Rattus norvegicus: one gene and its partners. The protein of the gene in region 1 interacts with the protein of each later gene in a pairwise test. Links are inferred from orthologs where the notes say so. Each region holds a gene or a part of one and is shown in the gene's direction. Other genes may lie near its edges. The genes, in order: Hax1, Sav1 and Il1a.

Region 1 (4,321 bases):
TTAAAAGGAAAAGGACCTTGTGGGAATCTAAGCATGATTTAAAGGATTCTGAAATCTGAAGCCAGCATTATCTACTGTCTGGCAGAACCAAATTGTAGGGCTTTTTTCTTTTTGGAGGAGTATAGTAGTTCTTGTCTGAGTTATGTTTTTGAGACAATCTCACTATGTAACCCTGACTGGCTAGAAGTTGTAACCCAACTGGCTGGAAGTTGGTGTGGAGACCAGGCTGGTCTCAAATTCAGAGATCTACCTGCCTCTACCTCTTGAGTGCCAAGGTTAAAGGTTCTCAGCACTATACCTTACCTTGCCTTTTTTATGTGACTTTGAAATGCCTAAGTTTTGGGAAAGGAGTGGATGATGGTAGAGCAAGACCTGGGGTGGGGACATGGTGCAGTAAAAGGTTTTGGACATGGAAAAAAAAGTTTCATTTTTCTTTATAAAAGCCATATTGCCAAGAACTGGGATCCTGTTTCAGCCTTCTAAAACTGCAAGTATCTCTGCGTTGGTGTATGAAGCGGGTGGGGGTCTCTATATTTTGAGTCAGAGCCTCACTGTAGCTCTGGCTTGCCTGAAACTCAGGTGTGTGGAGCAGAGATCCGCCTGCCTCTACCTCCCGAGTGGGTTAGACAAAAACACCGTCAAATTTCATAACGGCACAGTCTTTCCAAGACATGCTTGAGTAGCTTCTCATTCCTGCCTAGTCTACAAATCTTACGTTGCTGGTTGCCATCTGTTTAGTTTTTTAAAAATAGTAGTGTTTGGTGGCAACCTCCTTTAATCCCAGCACTTGGGAGGCATAGGCAGGCGGGTCTCATGAGTTTATAGCCCCCTTGGTCTGCAATTGAGTTCTAGGACAGCCAGAGCTACCTACACACAGGAACCCTGGGTCGGGGGGGGGGTGGGGGGGCGGAAAAAGTTTAAAAACTCCGTACTAGCTGAAGAGATTCCTATCATCTTTATTCAGCAGTAGGGAAGTCGCGGTGTAAGTATCTTGGTAAAACACTTTGCCTAACCTAGTATTAGACGTCACCGACATCATTCTAGAAACAAAACACAAGGTGGGAGGCGTCACCGTCAGTCTAGAAACAAAACACGAGGTGGGATGTGTTTTCTGATCCTGGGGGAAGCAGGCCTCTGAGTGAACAGGCCACTCCCTCTGGCGGCTACCTGAGACCCTCCAGAGAGAAACGGAAACACGTCTTGGGGTCTGGCAGATCGGCAGGAAGAAGAATCACCTAGAAGGGATGTGATCCTTGGACAGTGGGAATTTCGCACGTCCACCCCCACTCAAAACTGAAAGGTAGCGTATAGAAGCTTCGTGTCTGAGGAGCGCCGTCAGCCCCGCCTCTTCCTCCTCCGAGTTACAGCTTTTACGACAGTGCCGCATCGTAGGCTTGCTTTCCGGCAGCGAACGCTAAGCCTTGGCTATATCCGACAGGGTAGCGTAAACTGGTGGTCTCGTGTTGCCCATGGGCTGCAGAGTTTCAAAGTTTCTAGTACCCCTACGGGAATGAGCGTCTTTGATCTTTTCCGAGGCTTTTTCGGCTTCCCTGGACCTCGGAGGTGAGAATAGTCCTGGGCTGGACTTAAGGGAGGGTGTTTTGGTGGACACTTGACCCCTTCATATTTTTGGAAAGTTTCCTTTCCCGCCCCCTTTAACTCTTGCTGAGAGGTCAAAGATCGCATTCTTGAGTACTCACCCGCCACAGTAATCAAAGCGTTGGTTAAGAGGACAGAAACGGCACCTTTCTCCAGACTGGGGTGATGCAACAGGGACCTGAGCGGAGAAAACAATGGGGGTCTGGGAAAGAGGACCGTGAGCAAGTCATTGGGTGATTAGTAGTGGGCAGGATGACCCTGAAGGAACACCATGGGGTGTCGTTTGGGAGCTGTTGGGAGGTGCGGAGAAGCTCTGCTTAGAAACAATTAAAAAACCTAGTAGATCCATCAGCGTTGTTTTAAAACCAGATCTCCTCTTTGGACCGTTTTGCTGCCCTTGGGTTTAGACAGTGTTAAAGTCTTCGTGGTTTATCTGCCTCCATTCTCAGCCACAGAGATCCTTTTTTTGGAGGGATGACTCGAGATGATGACGATGATGAAGACGACGAAGAGGAGGAAGACAGTGGTGCGTGGGGTCGAGAGAGCTATGCGTTTGATGGTTTTCACCCTACAGAGGAATTCGGTTTCAGCTTCAGCCCCAGAGGAGGGATGCGATTCCATGGCAACTTTGGCTTTGATGATCTAGTTCGAGATTTTAATAGCATCTTCAGCGAGATGGGGGCCTGGACCTTGCCTTCCCACTCTCCTGGTGTGTTAATTTCCCTGAGGGAGAGCTGGGTTTCTAGTGGGTTAGTGATGGATAACAGAACTTGCAGAGTAGTTGGTGATGGATAGTGTGCAGAAACTGATTTTAAAAAGATTTAAAATGTTTTAAGGCCTTTCCTATCCCAGAATCACCTACCAACTTTCTACAGAACTTCCAGGTCCTGAGTCAGAAACACCTGGTGTGAGATTGCGAGAGGGGCAGACACTTCGTGACTCAATGCTTAAGTACCCAGATAGTCACCAACCCAGGATCTTTGAGGGGGTCTTGGAGAGTCATGCAAAACCTGAATCCTCCAAACCAGCTCCAGATTGGGGGTCCCAGGGACCTTTTCATAGGGTGAGTACTCTGCACCTGAACTGTAAACCCTTATATATTGGAATCTCTTGGAGTGGAGTTGAAAATTTAGCCCATCTGATTAGTGCATTTATCTGGATTTTATTCCTTATTGGGATTTTTGTTTTGAAACACTTCACTGTGTAGATTTAGAGATCTGCCTGCCTTTGCCTCTGGATTAAATGTGTGCCACCACACCTAGCCTAAACACACACACACACACACACACACACACACACACACACACACACGAGTATTTTGCCTGCTTGAATGTCTCTGTACCATATGTACCTTGTGCCCACAGAGGTCATAAAAGGATATTGTGTCCCTGGAACTCAAGTTATGTATGATTATGAGCCACCATGCTCTTGCTGGGAACTGTGGTCTTCTGCAAGAATGTCTTCTCCCTCTCCTCATATTTTATTTATTTATTTATTTGTTTGTTTGTGTATTTTGAGGCAGGGTCTCTAGTATTGGCTGATGTAGAACTTGCTATGTAGACCATGCTGACCTCACTCAGGGGTCCACCTGCCTCTGAGTTTGTTAGTTAGGGTTCTGTTGCTGTTATTTGTTGTCTTTTAAATTTAGAGTGAGAGAGAGAGTGTGTGTGTGTGTGTGTGTGTGTGTGTGTGTGTACGTGTGTGTACGTGTACGTGTGCACGTGTACGTGTGCACGCATGCCTGTGTGAGTTTGTATTATTGTGTGGGTGCGGGTGCTTGCAATGATGAGGTGTTGAATCCCCTGGAACTCTCAGCTGCTTGATGTCCTAAAAGAGCAGAAGTGTTCTTAATCTGTGAGCCTTCTTCCCAACCCCATTGCTTCTGTTTTCTTTTTGCAGTATTGGAACCTAGAATAGACTATAAAGGGGAAAATGGAAATATTGTGCTTTTTTTTTTTTTTTAATTACTAGTTTCAATTCTTGGTTAAGAAAGAATCTTAAAAGCGCAGGAAAAAATTTCAGGAATTCTTTTTGACTGAAGTCCATATAAACCTGAGGAAGAAGGTGTGTGAACACAAACTACCCAGATAGAAGTATTTCTGGGGTTTTGGAGCTAGTGAGGAATATGGGTTCTCTGACCTGTAAGTTTAAGATTAAAAGGTGTCTTTTCACTGATTGTGTGTGACTTCTTCTACAGTTGGATGATACATGGCCTGTGAGTCCCCATTCTAGAGCCAGAGAGGACAAGGGTGAGTCTAGAGGGAAGCACATTTACCATGCCATTGTCCTGAAGTTCTCTCAGAAGTTTCTTCCTGAAACACTTGTCTAATTTTCTTCCCTCCACTCTATCCTGGCTTGTCATCTTTCTGCCCTTCCAGATCTTGACTCCCAGGTTTCCCAGGAAGGTCTGGGTCCACTTCTTCAACCCCAGCCTAAATCCTATTTCAAAAGCATCTCTGTGACCAAGATCACTAAGCCAGATGGGGTGAGTTGAGAGAGAAGTTTTGGGTTTTTTTGTTTGTTTGTTTTGTTTTGTTTTTGTTTTTTTCTCTTTTCTTTTTTTCGGAGCTGGGGACCGAAGAGAGAGATGTTTTTTAAAAAACTGTCCAGATGGGGTTGGGGATTTAGCTCAGTGGTAGAGCGCTTGCCTAGGAAGCGCAAGGCCCTGGGTTCGGTCCCCAGCTCCGAAAAAAAGAACCAAAAAAAAAAACTGTCCAGATAA
Region 2 (2,502 bases), on another chromosome or scaffold:
GGGGAAGAGGGATCAGCAAGGGAGAGGGGGCGCCAAAGTGGGACTTAGGCCCAGGGCTTGAGGCAGGCCACAGTGGGGGCGCCCCAGTCCATCCTCCCTACTCCACCTCTACTTGGGTGTTTATTACTTGCAGCATATCAGCTTCCAAAAGAAGATGGGGTATACTTCCACACAGTTTAGTTTAAAACAAAAAAATCTAGACTTTAATCATGGAACGTTCTGTTAAAGTGGAAGATGGTCAGTTTGTCCAGACAACACATAGAAGATTCTTACAAGTTGCATGGTCATTGTAATTTCTGGCCTGGATAGAGGGCTTCTGTTTTAATAAATGTCAACTCTTTGTTCCCAGTGTGCCTCGGTATGATCAGCCTCCACCCATCACGTATCAGCCACAGCAAACTGAAAGAAATCAGTCTCTCCTGGTCCCTGCAAACCCCTACCATACTGCAGAAATTCCTGACTGGCTTCAGGTTTATGCCCGAGCCCCTGTGAAGTAAGTGAGCACACAGCATGGGTATCTTTGGGGTCTCTAACAAGCTCCACTTAAGTACCGTGCATAGCCAGTGTGGATTAATGGTGGAGATACACCTTTAATCCCAGCATTGGTGGGGTGGAGGGCATGGGGACAGAACACGGATGGGGATGATGACATACAACAGAGGCAGATGGCTCTCTGAGCTAGAGGCCAGCCTGGTCTACAGAACGAGTTCAAGTTTCAGGACAGCCAGGGCTACACAGAGAAACCCCCCCCCCCCCCAAAAAAAAGTGTTGTGGTTTTCTTACAATATTGGGTTTCTATGTAACATTTAAGAAAGGATATCAGGTTATAAAGTTTGTTTAGAAGTAAAAAATTCTTCCAAGATGTTTGTATCCTAATTAATTTATGTACAAACCTCTGGTAATAGATACATGAGAATATCAAATATGACAAGTTTAATTTTTGTTTTCTTTATATTTTTATATGGCATTAACATGTAACATGGTATAGTACTTATAACCAAGAGTACCCAGTTAAGAGCTTAGTACTCTGGTGCAGAACAGTGGGACGGACACTCTGAGATGGAGTTCTTCATTAGGAATTACTAGTGAATTTCAGAGAAGTGATGAGTGAGTAAATGAAGCTTCCTGAGTGACAGCTGTGCTGGGAGACACTTGGGATGTACTGTAACCCCTTCGTGACTGCAGCTCTTGCTCATGAGGAGTGAGCTCTGGTGTGGGGAAGAGAGGGATCCAGGACTCTGCAAGGACGTCAGTCAAGTAACAGAATACACGGGAGTCAAGTAAAGTGCTTGCCTCAGCTCTGCCTGGGACACACATCCAAGACATGGAAGTGTGTGTGGCCCCGGGCAGCCTGGGCAGCCTGGGCAGCCTGCAGGAACTGCTCAGTATGCTTGGCTTGTTTTTTTGTTTTTTTGTTTTTGTTTGTTTGTTTGTTTTGTTTTTTTGGGGAGCCATATATGTTTTTTATATAGATTTGGAATAAAATGGCAAATGAGTTACCAAAGTATCCATTAGATAGGACATAAGTGATTATTAAAATAAGTTCACTAGACATTGTAACGTAGAGCTGCCTTTTATTTCTACCCTGCAGTGGCTTGAGAAATGACCTCAACATCACATAGGTACATAATATACCTCTAGTGACGGGTACTCACCCTAAAACACTGTCATTCTAAAGCTCCTTGGTCATATACCTCTGCCTTCCTGAACTCTTAGTCACTAATAGTTTTACAGGAGATAATTGGGGTTTTTTGTTTAGCTCTCAGAGTTTTTCATCTGTAAACAAGAAAACTGAATTAGACTGTCTCTTGATCTCTTCCCTTTCGAAGTGTGAGTTACTTCCTCGGTTCTGTAGTTCCCCTCATTCTGAGCCATTTAAGCACTGAAGGAGGACTAGAGTCCTTCTAAGACACATAAAATAACCAACATGATGTCACATTGTTGAGTTTTCTTCAGTTTATTTTATTCTCTCATTTTGAGTTTATTCTTCCTTTGGTTCTTAAATTTATTTTTATTTTTAATAATGTGTGTTTGTGCACACATATGTGTAGTGTAGCTTGAATCCAAAAGAGAGCATTTGTGTTTCCTGCAGCTGGAGTCACAGGGAACTGAACTCCAGTCCTTTGCAAGAGTAGTACACGCTCTTAACTTCTGAGCCATCTCTCCAAACCTGTTGCCTTGGTTTTTAATTCTTGCTACTCATCCTCATCCTCAGGCCTACAAATCATGACCCACCTGTCTCTGTTGAAGCTGAACAGTGTTCCTCTCAGGCACCTGTCAGCCCGCTGGCACCGATGCCATAGCGACTTGCCTGCTGTTCTGAATTACCACTTGTGTGCACAGTATGCTCTGAGTGTTCTCAACGTTAACTCTACTTGAATTTATAAAGAGCCAGGATGTGCTTTTTGGAAATTACAGAACCACTATAATCTAGAACCAGTGTTAACTGTTACCCAGGACTAATATTTACAACTGATTTTTAAAATAAACAGATACTCTTTA
Region 3 (4,137 bases), on another chromosome or scaffold:
TTACGTAGGATACCACTCATCTTTGAATTTTGTTTATAAATATAACAAGAGGAGGGACAGACTGGACAGCCACATTGGAACTGGAGAGTTTACATATGCAATAGAACCAAAGAACATCTAAACAGCTCCACTCTGTGATTTAAAAGGGCCAGAGGGCGTGGTTCATCCAACTCACGTAAGCTGCTTTACTCCTAGCCTCACAGTTTTGTGTTTGGTTTGGTTTGATTTTTATTCCATGTTTCAGTGGTTTGCTTTTCTCTCTTTGCCACTTTTTTCTTTCCTTGTCTACCACCCACTTCCTTTATTTAAAAGTTACACGGCTTAAATGCCAAGTAGAAAAGCTGAAACACTGCTTTGCTGAGAGTCTATCTCTTAGACTGGCCTGGCGTCTAGGAACTGAAACTGTTTCTAATAAAAAGGCAATGCTGATCTGTGTAAGAATCCATACCTTCCTCTCCCACAACCCCCACTCCTGGGCTGAGGCACTCCCCTGGCTGGGACTTTGTCCCTGCCTCCAAAAGTGGGCAGCTTATCCTCTCTCCTGAACTATCCTGAAGGACACTAGGTAGTGGGACAGAGCTACTTTACCATGATGTGGCTGGGGCTGACAACTCTCCTCTGAAGCTGTCGTCTCTGTAGGAAGTGCGTTAATACTGTTTAAAGGAGTAAGAGGGCCCAGGTCTTTATGTTCAGTGTCACTTTTACCTCCTTTACCTTTAACCAGAAGGCCATTGTTTTATACGTGGACTGCTGACTTATTCAAGCAAATTTTACCCTTCAAAGAGGGGTGGGGAGCTCATTTTTCCCTCAAATGCCCTGCCTTAGCTGCCAATTATCCCTCCCATCTGTATTCAGTCCTGGGGCACAATAAACAAATTAGACCAAAACACAAAGTACAACTATGGAGCACCTGTCCTAGTCCGACTCCCGCTCCGATTTGAGGATGTCTCCTTTCCTCTTCCATTGGTGAGCTTCCTGCCACTCTTCCCTTTTTGTAAGACTACATGTTTATAGTCACATGGAGCAAGCGAGAAATAGGCAGATCAAGCCAACAGCCCGCAGAGTCTTTGCAAGCAACATTATTACCAGTGTATAATCTGTCCTTCTAGCCCGTATCAAGAAGAATGAACACAGAAAGATACGAAGCAGAATTGTTTCCTGTAAATTCCCAATGACACACACTCATGACCACACCTACTACTTGAGGAAGACTATAAAGACAGAGAGAAGCCTGACTCAGACTTAAAGTCTCCAGGGCACAGAGGGAGTCAACTCATTGGCGCTTGAGTCGGCAAAGGTATTGTCCTTATCCCATCTGAGGCTATGAGAATTGTCTTTTGTTTGCTCCTCGACTGTCCTCTCTCAAGACATCTTTCGTAAGGAAAATGGTCTCTTCTTCTCTCCTCCCTCCTCCTCCTCCTCCTCCTCCTCCTCCTCCTCCTCCTCCTCCTCCTCTTCCTCTTCATCTTCTCTTGTCTGATTTAGAGCAGGGGCTGGAGTGAGAGGCTCAGAAAAGAATTCTCTTTCTAGTGATAGAGAACTTAGGGAGCAGCTGAACAAGATTCACGTGAGCGAGTCTATCAGCAAAGCTGAACCATTTTCTGGAGATCGGACATCTCTCCTGACAAAAATGAAAGAGACCAGCAGGTTCCCACTCTGTGTCTCCCTTGCCTCTATATAAGGCAGACACCTCACTCAGGTGATTTTAATTTTTTTCCTTATTCTGTTCAACTTTTACTAAGTGCCTACTATGTGTGAGGCGATAGACTGGACACAAAGAATACCAAGTTAGAGAAAACATTCTTGAAAACAAGCTAGTGGAAAAGATAAAAGCATACAGAAATAATGTAAGGGAGGATGAAGGAGAATAGAGGAAATGCTGAACATGTGATAAGTCACTACTGTAGTTTCTCAAGAAGAGCAAAGCAGGGTCATTGCCCTTGCAAGCACAGGGTTTAGAGGTGGACTGAGCTGACAGCCACTGGTGTTCTCTTGCAGAAATCAAGATGGCCAAAGTTCCTGACTTGTTTGAAGACCTAAAGAACTGCTATAGGTAAGAAACGGAGTCTTCCTTTTTTGATTCAATGAAGGGCACAAGACTCTTTTGAATCCGAATTAACTAAGAGTTAATGTGACCAGTCAGGGGACAGGCTGGCAGAGGCTATGGAGATATACATTGACCCTGAAGTCCTGAGGACAGAGAAGACCTAGAAAGACCAGGCATCCGTCATACTAAAAGGATATTTCATTGGCAGGAAAAAACGGAAATTGTAGAAAATTATTTTTGAGGTATACTGAATCTGACATAATTTTATATCAACATCAACGTAGGCACTCTAAAGAGTCAGCAGTGGGTTTTAATGAGCTATTTGAGAGAGAATCCATTCTCAAGAGAACCTGTTCCCAGTCAAAGGAGGTAACGGCTCTCGGGCACATGGATTCACACTCATCGTCAAACCTTACCCTGATACAAAAGACAAAAGAGCAGAGAGTTGAAATTCTAGAACATTCTTAACTAATATGATGTTCTTGTTGTTTACAATTAATGCTAATGCTAATAAAGCTACAAAATGTTAAACAGTAAATGTTTTGGTGAAGACATGAAAGTAAGTAGCGTATGACAAAGTACGCCTGTGATGCATCAAACCCTTTTCTTTTAAAGACCTTAAGTCTTCCCTGAGGTTCTGTTAAGACTCTGGTTCATTAGTCATGCCTGATTTTTTATAAAGCACAAAGCTGTTCTAATAATTACTAATTTCAAATTAGTGACAAATAAATTACTATGTGTATAGTAGACATGAATGTACAGAAGTCTTTAACTTTTCCAAGAGTAATGATCGTGTGTGTGTGTGTGTGTGTGTGTGTGTGTGTGTGTGTGTGTGTGTGTGTTCATGTACTCAGTTACTGTGGAGCTTACTCTCATCCTAACAGGACTCAAGTTCTCCTAAGGATGGATTAGCTCTTAGACATCCACTAAAAGTCATTACTGTGTTAGAGCGTTTGAATTCAATGGTGCCTGTGCCTAAATCAGTTTTTAGGAATGTTGTCTGTGTTACCCAAAGTTAATGTGTTAAGTTAGATATGATACTCACTGACCACAGTAAAATAATGGACAAAATATAGTCTCATATTCTTTTTTGACAGTGAAAATGAAGAATACAGTTCTGCCATTGACCATCTGTCTCTGAATCAGGTAAGTACATAATTAGCATTCTTATAGATCTGGGCTCTCTTTTTCTTCCTTTTCTTTCACTCTAGATCCTCTACCAGAGAAGCACAATGAGCATTGAGTAGTATACACTTGTGTTTCCCTGTCATAAATGAGACACTTGCCTCTTCATGCCAGTAGTTAACTGACATTCTTCCTACTCATTTGCTTTTCCGGAATAGAGATCTATCTGAACCCCTAAGAGCTGGGCCAGGCTCCTTCAAAATATTAACTTTGTTCTCCCTAGCCAGTTGTTTCAGTCCAACTCACCTGGGTCTGTCTCTTAACAGACCTAAGGCTAGAGACAACCAGATAGCCCACAGAGCTGAGGTAAAGGAGGCTAGCCAGGAGAAATTAAATGTTACACACACAGACACACACACACACACACACACACACACACACACACACACACACCAGGTCATATCATTTTGTGTGTCTGTGATACTAGCTTTAAAAGCTGCTTTCAGAAGAACAGTTATACCAAAGGCATCCATGGGAGCTTAGAATCAAGGGAGACCACCTTCTTCAGATGCTCAAGTCCCATATATTAAATGACCCTCTATTTGTATAAAGTATGTATGCATGCATTCTCAAGTGACTTTAAATCATATCCAAGTGTCCTAACCAGACCTGCCACAATGCAGACGCTGTGGAAACAATTCTTATGCTTATGAAGCAATGGTTAGATTATTTAGGAAATAAAAAATGCACATGTGCAGTACAGATGTCATTTATTTCTAGAAAATATTTTGACTCTTAAGGCTGGTTGAATTTGAGAATGCAGGCAGGCAAAACAGAGGGCCAAATGTATTTTCTAAAATATTTTAAGCACTCTCAAGTAGATGCCAGACCTCTTAGTGGAAGGTTCTGACTTACCAGGGTTGCATATTAACCTATTTCATTAAAGTGTTTTATTTTTGAGCATA

Evidence for each region.
Region 2: the proteins of Hax1 (region 1) and Sav1 interact in binary tests that used the Homo sapiens proteins (3 or more experiments, as listed by UniProt). The link is inferred for Rattus norvegicus from reciprocal best matches to the Homo sapiens genes HAX1 and SAV1.
Region 3: the proteins of Hax1 (region 1) and Il1a interact in binary tests that used the Homo sapiens proteins (3 or more experiments, as listed by UniProt). The link is inferred for Rattus norvegicus from reciprocal best matches to the Homo sapiens genes HAX1 and IL1A.

Annotation. Positions count from the first base shown.
Region 1 is NC_086020.1:177,732,466-177,736,786, reverse strand, and holds the start of Hax1 (HCLS1-associated protein X-1), read left to right. Parts: upstream 1-1,444; 5' UTR 1,445-1,510; coding exon 1,511-1,563; intron 1,564-1,611; exon of another isoform or gene 1,612-1,764; coding exon of another isoform or gene 1,765-1,832; intron 1,833-2,048; coding exon 2,049-2,308; intron 2,309-2,474; coding exon 2,475-2,662; intron 2,663-3,796; coding exon 3,797-3,848; intron 3,849-3,977; coding exon 3,978-4,084; intron 4,085-4,321. UniProt on the Homo sapiens protein: Recruits the Arp2/3 complex to the cell cortex and regulates reorganization of the cortical actin cytoskeleton via its interaction with KCNC3 and the Arp2/3 complex. Slows down the rate of inactivation of KCNC3 channels. Promotes GNA13-mediated cell migration.
Region 2 is NC_086024.1:94,216,600-94,219,101, reverse strand, and holds part of Sav1 (protein salvador homolog 1), read left to right. Parts: intron 1-349; coding exon 350-493; intron 494-1,759; coding exon of another isoform or gene 1,760-1,830; intron 1,831-2,502. UniProt on the Homo sapiens protein: Regulator of STK3/MST2 and STK4/MST1 in the Hippo signaling pathway which plays a pivotal role in organ size control and tumor suppression by restricting proliferation and promoting apoptosis.
Region 3 is NC_086021.1:136,987,125-136,991,261, reverse strand, and holds the start of Il1a (interleukin-1 alpha), read left to right. Parts: upstream 1-1,244; 5' UTR 1,245-1,297; intron 1,298-1,330; exon of another isoform or gene 1,331-1,699; intron 1,700-1,998; 5' UTR 1,999-2,006; coding exon 2,007-2,053; intron 2,054-3,144; coding exon 3,145-3,193; intron 3,194-4,137. UniProt on the Homo sapiens protein: Cytokine constitutively present intracellularly in nearly all resting non-hematopoietic cells that plays an important role in inflammation and bridges the innate and adaptive immune systems.